Astyanax mexicanus: one gene and its partner. The protein of the gene in region 1 interacts with the protein of each later gene in a pairwise test. Links are inferred from orthologs where the notes say so. Each region holds a gene or a part of one and is shown on either strand. Other genes may lie near its edges.

Region 1 (8,236 bases):
GTCAGATTAGCATTGAATGAACTCAAATAAACAATCATTAAACAGGAAGCACCCAATGCAAGAACTGTCTCACATTATGCTAATACACAGATTCCCAAACAGAAAATAAGCCTAGACTTAAACCATACAGCATTTTTAAAGATTGAAAGGAATATTAAATCTATGGCTTAATCCCTGTCCAGGAAACCGACCCATAATATGAAATGCTCAAACAAGATAAAACTAAAAACACTTACAAATAAACATTTAACTGAAACATACTAATTCAAAACCTTACTTTTTTTTTTATCAAAAAGTAATTTAAAAGTTGACAGTTAAAGTAACATTAATGATTATATTTTCAGCAGTAAATGATAAAACAATTAGGGTGTATCATCAAAGTTCAAGCACTGCCATCTGTTGTCTGCAGAGCTAAACCCAGTATTTTATTACTAGAACTGTGCAGTACATCACAGAAACCAGTGTGGGTGTTGGCTTCTGCCTCTGCCTGCTTCTCATTCCCCAACACTCATTATGTAAAGTTATATAAAATCCACATAAGATGGTTAATAATGTCGTTTGCCATGATTGAAGTTGTTGAATTCGTCTTGCACTTGTTTGTGTAGGTTCAGTGTTTTCAGCTTGGCAACCCGAGTGAGCTTTGTGTCTGTGGAAGGGTGGGCAGGGCAGACAACTCTATCTGGTGTTTTGAAACTGGACTGCTGTAGCGCTTATTTTCTACTGATCGCATCTTAACTGTGTTTAATTGCTCTCTGTACATACATAAGAAAAAACATGTACCTGCTTTGGCTTGGTGTGCAGTTATCTGCCTGCCCTCTGTTTCTAGAGGTGGAGACCCTATAGCCCCTCTCGGTGCAGATGGGGGGGATTGGCTGGGAAGACGTGTTTGTAGAGCAGGTTTGCTAGACTGCTGAGGAGAGGTCAGGCGCTTGGCAGGAAGCTTTGCTGCTGGTGAAGTTCTGCTGCTTATCTGTTTCTGTGAGGAGGGTTTATCTTCAGCAGGTTTGGGTTTATAATCTGCACCTTTCTGAGATGCCTGCAGCTGCTGCTGTAGCTTCTGCATCTTCTCACGCATGCTCCTCAACTCCGCTAAAGTTTTACAACAGGAATTTCAATAGAACATGTCAACTTAAGATTCTCAGTAATTTTTATTTAAATAAAATGTTACATTAGCGTAAAACTATTTAACCTTACCCTCCAAGTCCTCTTTGGATTTATTGAGTTCACTTTCCACTTCTGCACTTGAGTTTGCAGCTTCCACAACCTCTTCTGCTTCTTCTTCTTCTGGCTCAGCATAGGCTTCTCCTTCATCACCATCATCATCAAACAGATTATCCAGATTGTCCTCTTCTCCAGCAGCAGAAGTCTCTATCTTCTGACCCTGACTCTCCTCAAACAAGGAAAGCAGCAGGTCCAGGTTCTCATCCTCTGCTGTTAATCGTAAATCAGAAAGCACTGGCATTATAAAGTCCATCTTCATAAAACTTAGAAAGATAAGTAATTATATTTATTATTGAAATCTAACAATTAGGATACTTGAAATCCCATATTAAACACAAACCCAAAGCTTGTGTAGAATTTACAGCACTGATATAATGTTAATATTAAAGCATGACACTACAATTACACCCTCCTAAAGAGCAGTGAACTAGTGGTGTGTTATATTGTATCATATAAATGTTTTTTGACACACTGAAACCATATTGTGATATGTCGATATTTTTGGAAGCTAGGCCTTTCACAATAACTACATTATTGTCTTATCATACAATAAATTGACATGCCCTCAATAATATTTGATATTCATGATATTGTCCACTCCATTCTCATGTTGTGGACAGCAGTAGGGGAAGAATTAAGCATATATCCCCCAATCTATGATTAATTAACATTGTGTTGTTTATGTAAGGGTTTAATTGCTTTGTCATGCTACTATATTATCATTATAATTACTTGAATTTAATGGTCTTAAAATTACAAAAATATTGTTTATCGTAATAATTTCTGGGACAATATATCTTCCTTGTAAAATACCTAATGGAAGCTGTTTATTTTGTATTTGATTGATTTACACTATTTACTTTTAATTGTTTGTTTGTAGTTTATATGCAGACTGTAAATATGCTGACAAAACAATGGACTGTAAAGATATCAGCAAAGCCTCGTAAATGTATTGAGCTCATGTCCGTATATTGTACAGTAAATCTATGACGTAATTATCGTTACCAGGGCTAAATGTGGGAGTATACTCACTTATTTACATAATGTATATAAACATAATTATAACCATTATAGGTTAACTAACTTGGTTTTGCTAAATTATCTAACGATGGCTAATCTAACTTGCCTGACTTTTTACCAAACAATAACTGTTACCTAATAATAAACCATATGAACAACAGGCACACAAACAGAGACGAGGTAAGACAGATTCTCTAAATCTGCTAATAACAAGCTCTGTTTATAAAACAACAAAAAAAACTAATTTCCAGCTCCACCTTAACCCTTTTAGACATGAATTATCTCCAGTGATGGAAATAATGGTAAACAAATAAATCATAGCTATTACCTGGAATATTTAATAATTTATTTTTTTATAGTGACATTTTTATTTTATTAACAGTAAAATTAAAAAGTGTTCTAAATCACTATATTTATATTTTATCACTATCATTATATTTGTAAAAAAAAAAAAAAAAAAAGTTACTTTGCCTTAATGGCTCTAGTACTACTGTTTTCCCAGTGCAGTGGATGTGACCAAGCTGCTGTTTCGTTTATAATTGGCTGTTGCATGGTCTGTTCTGATGGACAACAGCTCTTAAATAGTGTTATGTGCAACAAAATGTTTAAAAATAAAGAAAATACATGATGTCTATTGTAAAGTATGCAGGGTCTAAAAGGGTTAAAACCCGCCGCTGTCTGAAGCGAACTATGAGCTACTGTATGTAACCGGCGCGCCATTTAAGGTGGAAAGTTTAAAAGCCAAATTCAACCAGCTTCTAGATCTACTTACCAGTCATCTCTGCAGCTCCAGTCCTTCTCTCTGAACTGAAGCAGCGCTGTGTTTATCTGATGGAAGATTCTGATGAGTCTGATGTTCAGTATTTTTTCAGGGTCAAATGAATCTGTAGCTCTGAAGAACAGATCTGTCGATTTGTTCTTCTGAACTCAAAAACAGAATAACACACAGTCCGCCCCCCAGCTCTCACACCAGCAACACACCAATCACAACAATGCTACAGTACCGGGCTTATTATATTCCTAAATATTTAATATATCAGGAATATGGACTCCAAATCCAGGTAAAATGTTGTTCAGCCCGTTCCCGTCTGCTGCTGCTCTGCGGTGGCGCGAAAAATGTTAAAATATGATACGCCCTAAACCGACGTCAGTACAAAAGGCAACACCAGTGCCTGTTCAAAAAACATATATATGAATTAAGAGTAATAATAACAGAGAAGTAATTTTAGTTATGTATGTTATGTATAGATATCGTTTATGAATGACACTATATAGATAACATTCTGTTTCTAATTGATTTGATTATTAATGGGTTTTACGATTCTCTGTCTCCCGCTTCGTATCTACAGGCGCACACAGGATGCCAGGCGGTCCTTAAGGTGCTGATCTTCAAATCATCTGCGCGGTAAAGTTCTTCGTCCTCATGCAGTGTAGATCATACCGTTCGTATCTGAAACGTAACACATGCTGACTTGCTGCCCACACTCAACTACCAGACCTAACTTAAAGTCAGTGTAGTGATCACAGGCGCCGCTAGCCCTTTACTGGGGTGTTTTTGTAGTTTTCTTTTTGTTTTGAGTAAATTTGTCTTACAAATTTTCAAACCTTGAAAACTATACATATTATTTTAATAACGAAAATACAGGGGTTGGACAATCAAACAGAAACACCTGGTTTTAGAACACAATTTATTCTCCAGACAGACAGTTCTGGTGAAAACAGGAGAGTTTTTGTGTTTGGATTTTGCTTTCATTTTACAAATCCTTAAAAATAAGTCCAAAATATGTGTACTGCAGTTTTAAAAATATTGACTAGGTGCTTCTTTAATAAAAAAAAATTTGACACAATGAAAATACTCCATATCATAATATCACAATATTTTTGGAAGCTTTTAAGTGTTCGTTTGCAATTTTTTAAGCAGACCTTTGTTTTATGGCATTTTTTTTGGTAGTTACACTAGAGTTTGTTTTTAGTAATTTTTTTTTTAAATGTTCAAACCTTAAAAGTATACATATTATTTTTACAATGAAAATATATGGAGTTAATTTTATGCCAAAGGTTTGACACAAATTAATAAAACCTGCAAACAAAAGTTTAAAAATCAAATGTAAAATAATATTTATCCTTTGCAGTTATTGGAAAATGATTTGCGTTTAGGTTTAGGTTGTCTTTGTTGTTTTTGCACTTTGTTGGATTTTTGCTGATAAGGTCTTCTGCTTCTGGAATATCTCGAGGTTAAACCTCTGATCCTAGAATCGCCACTGTAGGATCTGTAGTGATGAAATGACAGCTCCCTGCTACCTAATGAGTGTTTAGCCGTGTTGTCATACAGTGAAACAGAAGGCTAGATTACTAACTTCAGATCAGACATGGCTGGGAGCCTCCTGCATTCATTCAGAAACAGATTAAAGTCATATCAGAGCTGTTTTTATGGAGAGACTGTCCACCTTCATATATGCCCTATATATGAGAAAATGACTTTTAACCGCTAGAGGGAGCCATCGAGTGAGTCTTCAGTGAATGGTGGTGAATGACTCTAAACAGATTAAACCTCAAATAAAAATAGTAACTAACCATTTGGCCAATATATTCATTTAATTTCATAAAGTAGATTAAAGTTACTGAAAAGACAAAGAAAAGGCAAAGAAAACATACCAATATATTTTTTCTACAGCAAACGGGTTATAGGCAGTAAAGACGCAAGCATTAGAGTTTAAAAGGTTTATAGCTGGAGTTTAAAAGCTTTAAAAATGTATATGTCTGAGGTACAAAAACATTTTAATTTGTCTTGTGTTAAAAAAATGTAAGTAAAATTTTCAGTGTACAAATGATCAAGCATTTGTTGACAACAATTTTGCTCAGTTGCTCCATATGAACCTATTAAATCTGGGCTCACTTGGGAGCGCCCTCTGGTGGTAAAACAAACCCGGCAAAGATTATTAAGTGGGCAATCGTTTGTGTAGAAGTTCTGTGGTTTTAGTGTCGCTGTTAAAATAGAAAAAAAAATGAAACATCGCAGCTGTCCATTTGGCCTGGAAATTTCTTTGATTTTGAAAAATCATAATTATGTACAAAGAAAATCCCCCTATATTATTTAGTTTTTCTACATTAAACGGATCGAACTCAAGCCCTGGGTTTGAAATGTTTATAACTGGAGTTTGAAAACTTAAAAAACTATATAGCTGCGGTATTAAAACATGAACTATTGTTCTGTGGTGATGAAATGAGAACATTAAATATTATAAACTTTTTGATCAGTTAATCCGTAGAAAATTATTAATTGTGGGGCTTATTCAGAAGCGCCCTTTGGTGGTTAAAAAAACCAACCGGCAATAAATTATTTTGTGTGCATTCTCCTGTGTAGAGGTTCTGTGGTTTTAGTGCCGCTGTTACACATAGTAGACTTGATAATAAAGTCGTAATATGAGGGCTGGTTTATGGAGAGACTGCCCACTGTACTATCTCCACCGTTAAATCAGGAAATTGCTGATAACCTCTAGAGGGAATGAGTCCAAAATGAATGGGGGTGAATGGAGCTAAATAGCTGAAACTCAAAATAAAAATAGTACTGTTCACCTAGCCAGGAAATTCCTTTAATGTAGGAAATTAGAATTATGTACAAAGAAAAACTCACTTTATTTTTCAGTTTTTCTACAGTAAACAGATTTTAGGCAGTAAAGGCACTACTGCTACTGTGAGCTGACTGGAAGATGAGCTGATACTGGAGTTACAGTTAGAGCACTGTGTTTAAAATATTTATAACTGGAGTTTAAAAGCTTTAAAATATTTCTGCGGTATAAAAAACGTGATATTCTTCTGTGTTGATGGAATGAGAACACTAAACATTTATAAACCCGAATTTCGCTCAGTTTTTTGCTCCATTGTGAAATTGTGGGGCTCACTCGGGAGCGCCCTCTGGTGGTAAAAAAACGGAACTAGATTATTTAGTGTGAAATTAAACATAGTAACTGTCCATTTAGCCAGAACATTATTTTAATGTTGGAAATTAGAATTATGTACAAAGAAAACCTCCATTTATGTTTCAGTTTTTCTACAGTAAACGAATTTTAGACAGTAAAAAGTGCTGTAGTACTACTACTGTGAGAAAGTAAAACATTTATAAACTTAGATTTTGCTCAATGGATCCATATGAACGTAGTATATTTTTGCTCACTCGACAGCGCCCTCTGGTGGTCAAAAACGGGAATAGATTATTTAGTGTGTATTCTGTGGTTTTGGTGTCGCTGTTAAAAACAGTAGACCTCGATAATAAAGCTGTAATATCAGAGCTGGTTTATGGAGAGACTGCCTTCTTTTTTTCTCCACCATTATATCAGAAAATGACTATTGTTCTATGTTGATGAAATGATAACATTAACCATTTTTGAACTCAAAAATGCTCAATTGCTCCATATGAATTTATTCGTTTTGGGCTCACTCGACAGCGCCCTCTGGTGGTAAAAAAATAGGAATAGATTATTTAGTGTGAAATTAAACAGTAACTGTTCACTTAGCCAGAAAATCCTTTAATGTTGAAAATTAGAATTATGTACAAAGAAAACCTCCATTTATTTTTCAGTTTTTCTACAGTAAACGAATTTTAGGCAGTAAAGGCGCTGCATTACTGCTACTGTGAGCTGACGGATTGGTGAGCTGATGCTGGAGTTACAGTCAGAGCACTGAGTTTAAAATATTTATAACTGGAGTTTAAAACCTAAAACATTATATCTGCGGTATTAAAATATGTGATATTTGTTCTGTGTTGATGAAATGAGAACATAAAACATTTATAAACTTAGATTTTGCTCAATGGATCATTAAGAACGTATTCATTTTGGGCTCAACAGCGCCATCTGGTGGTCAAAAACGGGAATAGATTATTTAGTGTGTATTCTGTGGTTTTAGTGTCGCTGTTAAAAACAGTAGACCTCGATAATAAAGCTGTAATATCAGAGCTGGTTTATAGAGAGACTGCCTACTTTTTTTTCTCCACCATTATATCAGAAAATGACTATTGTTCTATGTTGATGAAATGATAACATTAACCATTTTTGAACACAAAAATGCTCAATTGCTCCATAGGAACTTATTCGTTTTGGGCTCACTCGACAGCGCCCTCTGGTGGTAATAAAAAACAGTAATAGATTATTTAGTGTGAAATTAAACAGTAACTGTTCACTTAGCCAGAAAATCCTTTGATGTTGAAAATTAAAATTATGTACAAAGAAAACCTCCATTTATTTTTCAGTTTTTCTACAGTAAACGAATTTTAGGCAGTAAAGGCGCTGCATTACTGCTACTGTGAGCTGACGGATTGGTGAGCTGATGCTGGAGTTAAAGTCAGAGCACTGAGTTTAAAATATTTATAACTGGAGTTTAAAACCTAAAACATTATATCTGCGGTATTAAAATATGTGATATTTGTTCTGTGTTGATGAAATGAGAACATAAAACATTTATAAACTTAGATTTTGCTCAATGGATCATTAAGAACGTATTCATTTTGGGCTCAACAGCGCCATCTGGTGGTCAACAACGGGAATATATTATTTAGTGTGTATTCTGTGGTTTTAGTGTCGCTGTTAAAAACAGTAGACCTCGATAATAAAGCTGTAATATCAGAGCTGGTTTATAGAGAGACTGCCTACTTTTTTTTCTCCACCATTATATCAGAAAATGACTATTGTTCTATGTTGATGAAATGATAACATTAACCATTTTTGAACACAAAAATGCTCAATTGCTCCATATGAATTTATTCGTTTTGGGCTCACTCGACAGCGCCCTCTGGTGGTAATAAAAAACAGTAATAGATTATTTAGTGTGAAATTAAACATAGTAACTGTTCACTTAGCCAGAAAATCCTTTAATGTTGAAAATTAAAATTATGTACAAAGAAAACCTCCATTTATTTTTCAGTTTTTCTACAGTAAACGAATTTTAGGCAGTAAAGGCGCTGCATTACTGCTACTGTGAGCTGACGGATTGGTGAGCT
Region 2 (8,414 bases), on another chromosome or scaffold:
ATCAAGAGTTAATTACTTGAATTTCTTGTCTCATAATATGTTTAAGAGCATCAGTTGTAAAGTTGTAAAGAGGTAGAGCTCAAATTTAAAAAAGTCTAGACTAGCTTGGGAGGGGCACTGGGTGATGTATGGGTTTAGGGGCGGGCCAGGAGGGAGAGCTGATTGGACTGAGTAGTGTGCCTCTGATAGCAGTGGTGAGATATAGATGGTTGGATGTCATCAAGGGGTGGGGTGGTATTATTGATAGATTGATTGATTAATTGATTGATCAAACTGTATATTGTGATGTGTCATCAAAAAATCACACTCATTTCCCATGATATATCTACTAGAGACAGATTATATCAGTAGTATCATCTGGATTCTGACTTCTGTTACAATTCTGATACAATCCTTGTATTTTTTTAATATCTCATTATTAGGGGTTTGCCATATCATATCATATGCAATAATAACATTTAATATTCATTTTGTTGCAGTAGTGTATTCTGGAAATATTTTTTATTTAACTCAGTGTTTTGTCATATCGTTATTGTCATATCATGTTATGTCATATCATATTGTCGTATCGTTATCACGAAAAAAAAAACATGAAATATTGTGATATTATTTTAGGGCCATATCACCCACCCCTAGTGTGTATCTTACCTGAACTGAATCCAGTACATTGTAAGAGAGATCCAGACTTTTCAGACGGACAAAATTCTTCAGAGAGATTCCCAGATGACAGATCTTCCCCGTTTCATATCCAGATCCAGGGAGGCTCAGTGATCGGACATCCGCTGTGGGTTCAAACAGAAACTGATAAATTAACTATAGATAATCAATCAATCAAGAGCCTGACTATGCTTTAGGTCGCGAAAGTCACAGTCCGTACTGTCAGCTACATTTTCCATTGTGAGGAACATAGTGAGGAAATGGAAGAACCACAGGCACAGGTCTAGTTAAGAACTGAAGCTGCAGAACAAGAAAGATCTCAGATAATCAGAGGAGAAGGATGGTGAGAACAGTCATAGTCAACAAACAGACCTCCAGAGCTCCAAAGACATCATCATCATCTTACTGCAGATGGAGTCACTGTGCATCGTTTAAACAAGGAGAGGCTGTATGGGAGAAAATTAATGTAGAAGAAGCCTTTTCTGAGCACACGCCACAAACAGAGTCGCTTCAGGTATGCTAAAGCTAAAGCACATTTGGAATAAGGTTCTGTGGACTGATGAAACTAAAATTTCAGGGTTATTTGGAGGGTGGTTATTTATATGCACAGAGGAAAAAGTACACAGTATTCCAACACAATCACTTTACTGCTCCCCACAGTAAAATTAGTGCCAGTTCCATCATGCTTTGGGGCTGTGGGACCAGTGCAGGTACCGGGAATCTTGTTAAAGTTGAGGGTCGCATGGATTTCAGTCAATATCAGCAGAGTCTTGAGAACAAGAATCAGTGAGAAAGTTGAAGTTTGAAGCGCCGGGGCTGGATACTTTAACAAGACAACGACCCTAAACACTAAACACTACTCAAAATCTACTAAAGCACTAAAGCATTCATGCAGAGCAACAAAAATTACAACGTTCTGGAATGATCATCTCAGACCCCAGATCTGAATATTATTGAAATATAATCTGTGGTGTGATTTAAAGCAGCTGTTCATGATCATAAACCTGAATCAAACCTGACTGAACAGATGATGTTTTGTAAAGAAGAATGATCCAAAATACCTTCAACAAGAGGCCAGACTTTCAATGGAAGCTATAGGAAGAGTTTAAATGCTGTTTAGATTTCTGCAAAAGGAGGATCTCTACTAAATATTGATTTGATTTTTCTGCTGGGTTGCTGAAATTTACGCACCTGCCTAATTTTGTTTAAATAATTATTGCACACTTTCTGTAGATCCTATAAACTTAATTTTTTTTACTTCTTCGCTATATCTTACTTTGTCTGATATATGATATATTTAACTAAAATTGCTAATCCGAGCAATCAATGGTGTATAAAGGAAAATAATGAAAATTATCAGGGGTGACCAAACTTTTTTTTTATACCACTGTAAAATCAAAATCAAAATTTAGACTTGTTCATATATTTGAAGAATTCTTTTTTTTATATATATATATATAACTGTCCAGCCCTAGCTTGAATAACATAAACAAACTATCATAAACATAAACAAAATATTGATCAACATCATGTTACGATACGTCAACGGTAGGGGTGTGCCATATCATATCGTACGCGATAATATCGCCAACATTTTTGAATATCGTGAACGATATTATACCCTGAAATATCGTGCCATAACACTCACCCCTAATTATCACTTTTTTATCCTACTTTTTTGCTGATTAAGCGAAAAAAAAAGTCACACATTTCTCATTTACAATTAAATATCTACTAGAGACAGATTATATCTGTCCAGTATCATTTATTTTACTTTAATCCTGGATATATGGAGATATTTGGAGTGCATTATTATTAGTATCATGACATTCTGGATCATTGACTTCTGTTACAAATCTGATAAAATTATTGTATTTTATTTTATATGTCAGTTAGGGGTGTGCTGTATCATAACGTATACAATAATAAAATGTAAGTTTTGTTTTGTTGCAGTAGTGTATTTTTTATTTTTATGTTTTTGTCATATCGGCAAGAGTATCGTTATTGTGATAAGACCGTGAAATATCGTGATATTACTTTTGGGGCCATATCGCCCACCCCTAGTCAACAGCGTAATTATCGCGACAGCCCTTGTTCTCTTTAGTTCTAATTCTGCATTTATTTGGCTTACAATGAGTGAATGTGCAAATAAAGGCTGGTGAGTTTGCTGGTCTGATATCTCCATGTTCGCAGTAGCTCTAGTATCAGCACTATTAGCAGCACCATAGTTAATCGGGTAACCAGCAACAGCTTAAGGTTTCATAGTCAGAAAAAGCTCCTGTTGAGACCTAATTACCAGACCACTAACTGTGTTTTTAGAATGAATATACTGTATGTGGCTTGGCAGGAATAGTAGCAGAAGCACACTGACGCTATTTATCAGGATATTTTCCCTTTTCCAAACTCAGAAACACTATTATTATCAATTTAAAAGACAAAACTTTAAGGACTGCTGCTTTAAACTAAGGTAACTAGATTAGCTAAATTAACTAGCTAACGTTACAAATTACTGTTTACCTGCGCGACAACGGTGCTAGCTTGAAAACACTGTGCGATTTAAACGCTTTAAAGCGTTTATAACATACGTATAAGATAGTGATACGGTTAATAAAGGTGTGTAGAGTCTGTACAGATATATAAAGTGAAGTTTACCCAGACAGCGGTGCTGCAGGCTGAGCTTTTCCCGGATCCACTGCTCTGTTACTGATACGCTATCTGCCGCCATGGTTTCAAACGGCCGGAGGAGACGCGCTCTGCGCATGCGCCTCACTCAGCTGCGCCCTAGCTCTGTAAACGGCGGTGTCCCAAACTGAAGGGAGCTCAGAAAAAGGGAGCAGCCTCTGGATTAAGGGCTCCGAAACCCAAACTGACGCTTCCACAGGATCACTTGCGCTCTTTTACATATTAGAGTTTTAAGTTCTGAAGCTTTATTTCCATTTAAGACGGGTAGGATAACATATTGAACCTTCCTGCCTCCGAATACCGCCTAAGTAGGCAGCGTGGGTGCGATTTAGGACACATCCAGCTAATCAGAGCCGTGTAGATAGAGATGGCTATATTTTAACACTGATTATCTCCCCATAACAATGACTGATCGCCCTCTTGTGTTTTTGTGATGGTAGTACCTTAAAACAATGTGGGACAACACCATAGCAACACACTAGCAACCACCTGAAACACCACAACAACCACATAGAAAGCACTTTCAATATCGCACAACCACCCTAACAAGCAAGCACTTCGGAAACTATAGCAACTACCTAGCAGCAACAGCATCTCGACCACCCGGGATGCCATAGCAACTGCTGAGCTACAGCATACTCTACCTAGCAACCACCTAGCAACCACCTGGGACAAGTAAGTACTGGCTTAATATCGGGATGAAACAGGATGACACCAGCAAGCAAGTTCAAAGAAACCACATTTGATACCATACCAACTGCTTAACAACAGCATAGCACCTCCAAGCATAGGAAGAATAGCAATAACCAAGCAACTGCATGGTAACCACCTAGGACACCTGGGTGGCTGGCATGTACGCTTAGGTATTTTGGGTGGTTGTCATAGAGTTAGAAAGTTGTTAAAGTGTGGTTACTGTGGTGTTACTCTGTGGTTACTATAGTACTTCAGGCAAGTGACAATATATTTGTTTATTTTGAAGAATATGCTAACAAAATAAATGTTAAATGTTTTATTTAGCATAACAATTTTAAATATTTATTAGACAAAAACAAGCAATCTTACCAAGATTCACCAAGTAACTTATTGTATAAAACTATTTGCACAAAATATATATCAAAAATTATACAAAAATATCCCTAAAGCTTTACAGTAAAAAAAAAAAAAAAAAAATATATATATATATATATATATATATATATATATATATATATATATATTATAATTAGATTAAATTTAGTACAAACAGAAAATCTGTAAGCCTTCGTAAACAGCAGGAGCTGACCAAGATAATAACGTGCATATAATATTTTGTATAAAATAATAATAATACATATGTTATAAATTAAATTAAAATAATGCAAAGTAACAAAAAAATATACTAAAACACAAAAGTGAGGAATACATTATATCCTTTGTCTATCAGTAAGTGACCAAGATAGTACATTACTTATCATCAAAAATAAATAAGTAAATAAAATTAATTAATTAATAAAAAAATATTTGGGGCTATTTTTATAAGTAAGTATAAGTACATAACTGACAGAGATACGTATGAAGTGATAAGAATATATTCAATATTTTTAATATTCACCTTTTTAATATGTTTTCGTTATATATATATATATATATATATATATATATATATATATATATATACGTATATATATATATATATATATATATATATACGTATATATATATATATATATATATATATATATATATACATATATATATATATATATATACACGTATATATATATATATATATACGTGTATATATATATATATATATATATATATATATATATTGTGTGTTCAGTGCTGAGGCCCCGCCCCTCTCTGCGCTGCGCGGTCATGTGATTGGTGTGTTGTGCTGAGCTGCGCTTTCGGGGCGGGTGGGCAGTATTGGGCAGTATTGGGCTCTGAATGACCACAGATACTGATACCCACGCGGACAGCGCGAGCGGAGGATGAGCAGAGGATGAGGAGAGGATGAGAGGATGTCTGCGCGCGAGCTGATGGAGGCCAGGGTGCGCGAGGAGGAGGAGGAGGAGGAGGAGGATGAAGATGAAGGAGAGGAGCTGACTCTGCAGGAGATACTGACCCTCTATAACCAGCCCATAAATGAGGAGCAGGCCTGGGCCGTGTGCTACCAGTGCTGCCGGACCCTGGCGGAGCGGGGCGGCCCGGGACCCAGGCGCGCGGGGCTGCACCCCCGGGGGGTCATCGAGGGTCCGGAGGACGTGTGGATACACCAGAACGGCACAGTGCGGCTTCAGCCCGCAGGTAAACACTGATCTCCTGCATCCCATAATCACATAACTGCAATAACCAGCTGCAGAAAAATCTGTGCATCCTCTGCAGGGTGCATGCACCAGCACGTGCGTGCATGCATGCATGTGTGAATGCGTGCAAGCATGCATGTGTGAATGCGTGCATGCATGCATTTGTTGTTTGTGCGTTTAGCACAGTGAGCACTCTATGGAAGCTCCAGTAGGCATCATCACCATCTGCATCTCGAGCCCCGTGAAGGAATGGCTGGTTATATAACACAGTGCATTCAGTCAGGCCTGCAGTCGCGAGCGCGAGAGAGGGCAGTGTGTTAATGATCTGACAATGTAAACACTGTGATGTATGGATAGGGATGAGTATGAATAGATATGTATGGATGGATATGAGTAGCTATGTATGGATGGGTATGTGTATGAATAGATGGGTATGAGTAGCTATGTATGGATGGGTGTAAATGGGTATGTATAGATGGGTATGGCTATGTATTATGGGTATATACAGATTAGAATGGGTATGGGAATGTATAAGGATGGATACAGATTAATGGCTAAGGGTATGCATGGATGAGTATCGGCATGTATTATGGGTATATACAGATTAGAATGGGAATGTATAAGAATGTTTAAGTATAGATACAGATTGATGGCTAATGGTATGTATGGATGGGTATTTCTATGTGTGGTTTATTCTGGATTAGAGAATTACAGGATTACAGGTTAGAAAAGGTATAGATATGGATGGATACAGATGAGTATGAATTGTTAGGAAGGTTATGGATTAGGATGGATGTGTATGGACAGATATGGATGGATTTTATTGTTTATGAATATGGATATGAATTAGTATGGATGGTTGGGGATGGGCATAGATGGGTATATATTATAAACTTACAATTGAGTGAATTCAAACTGATTAGAAAAAGAATAAATCTGATGCTGTAACCGATCTAATGTCTGAGCTAATGGCCTACTGTTCCCATCTCAAGTGAAAACATCTAAAACTCTCTGGCTGTGGCTTTAAAGTGCCCGCTCTTCAGGAATGCTGTGTGTTTACGGTGTAATTAGATGGAGCTAAGTGAGTTAATAGGTGTACCCTTTGAGTACACAGCCACAGGCAGCACACACACACTGTGTACACCATCTCTAACATGGCCTGAATGGGCGTGTCCAGTATTCACATCACTCTTAGTTTCACTTTTCTGGCCTCAGAGACGTGATAGGGGAAGAAACAGCAGCTTGTTTTTCTTAATCAGGACCAGCACAGGTTCAGAGCACAGCCTGGCCTGGTGTGTTCTCTGCTCTGACTCACTCCTCAGCTGATTAACAGGCTCCTGATGAGCTGGCGCAGGTGTGATACAGCAGGAAAGACACTAAACTAGGTCTGCACTAAATACAGCGCCATGAAATTGAATGAAAGTACCATCCCTTTCAACACAACTGCACTGTGTAGGCCTTCTTCTGTAGGCTCTGGTAAAATATTTCATATGCTGCTTCTGTGTCCCTCAGCTTGTCCAGAAAAGCAAGTGTACAGCTGATATGTTATGTTTGGTGTCTAAAATAAGCTTGTGTGGTCTTACTCAATATATTGCAATCAAAGGAAAAACGCTAAACCCTGTAGGCCTTAATAATCAATAAACATCATCCAAATTTGTGCTTGTCCGGTAATGACAGTGCTGCTCTTTCTTATTCCGCAGGTAAAGGCCAGGCGGCATCCTCAGCAGTGTGGGTGAGTACAGCTACTCTATATCAACACTGATAACTTCCTAAACAGGGACTGTCATTGGACAATGGCAGTACTGGGAACAAGACTGCTCATTCCTTGTGTCTTCTGAAATCAATGGTATTAAAAAGAGTAAAAGAAACACAGTAACCGAAAAAATAAGAGAGCACTTAAAAATAATGAGCTTCTTTGATTTTACCAAATTATACCAAAAACCTCTGGAATATAATTAAGAGGAAGATGGATGATCACAAGTCATCAAACCACCAAACTGAACTGCTTAAATTTTAGTTTGAAACATAAAGTTATCCAAAAGCAGTGTGTAAGACTGGTGGAGGAGAACATGATGCCGAGATGCATGAAAACTGTGATTAAAAACCAGGGTTATTCCACCAAATATTGATTTCTGAACTGAATGTGAACTTGTTTTCTTTGGATTATTTGAGGTCTGAAAGCTCTGCATCTTTTTTGTAATTTTTAGTTATTTCTTATTTTCTGCAAATAAATGCTCTAAAATAAATGCTCTTTATTTTGGAATTTGGGAGAAATGTTGTCTGTAGTTTATAGAATAAAACAACAATGTTCATTTTACTCAAACATAAACCTATAAATAGCAAAATCAGAGAAACTGATTCAGAAACTGAAGTGCGACCTTCATTTTTACAGAGATCTATCTATGTAAAAAACCAAACCAAACAGAGGGAGAAACGCTCCAAATAAACAAACTCATCAACTGATCCAGACCATAGAAATTTTCACAACTACAGGTGTGAAAACGCTCTTTTATACTCAGCAAATTCTAAGTTCTAATTCAGAAATCCCTACAACCAAGCTGAGATGTTTATAATAAAGTAAAAAAAGTTTCCTCTATTCAATTTATCATGTATTCTTTATTCCAGCGCCCCACGTTGGCAGTATATGCTAGTATTTTAGTTGACACCACTAAAATAAGTATAATTAGATTTTACATTACTTACATTCATTCTTTAATTTACATTTAAACATCCACTATAAAAACATGCGTCCTAAGAAGAACAAGTGTGATTAATCACATTTAATCA

What was found. The genes of interacting proteins can lie anywhere in the genome.
Region 2: the proteins of mcm10 (region 1) and cep72 interact in a two-hybrid assay, tested with the Homo sapiens proteins (2 studies listed by BioGRID and IntAct). The two-hybrid records come from large-scale screens. The link is inferred for Astyanax mexicanus from reciprocal best matches to the Homo sapiens genes MCM10 and CEP72.

Annotation. Positions count from the first base shown.
Region 1 is NC_064409.1:12,339,876-12,348,111, reverse strand, and holds the start of mcm10 (protein MCM10 homolog), read right to left. Parts: upstream 3,370-8,236; 5' UTR 3,021-3,369; coding exon 3,014-3,020; intron 1,432-3,013; coding exon 1,195-1,431; intron 1,090-1,194; coding exon 781-1,089; intron 1-780. UniProt on the Homo sapiens protein: Acts as a replication initiation factor that brings together the MCM2-7 helicase and the DNA polymerase alpha/primase complex in order to initiate DNA replication. Additionally, plays a role in preventing DNA damage during replication.
Region 2 is NC_064408.1:122,668,299-122,676,712, reverse strand, and holds the start of cep72 (centrosomal protein of 72 kDa), read right to left. Parts: upstream 3,426-8,414; 5' UTR 3,419-3,425; coding exon 3,310-3,418; intron 783-3,309; coding exon 649-782; intron 1-648. Other genes in the region: spire1b (protein spire homolog 1), read left to right, coding at 5,343-5,628, 7,328-7,359. UniProt on the Homo sapiens protein: Involved in the recruitment of key centrosomal proteins to the centrosome.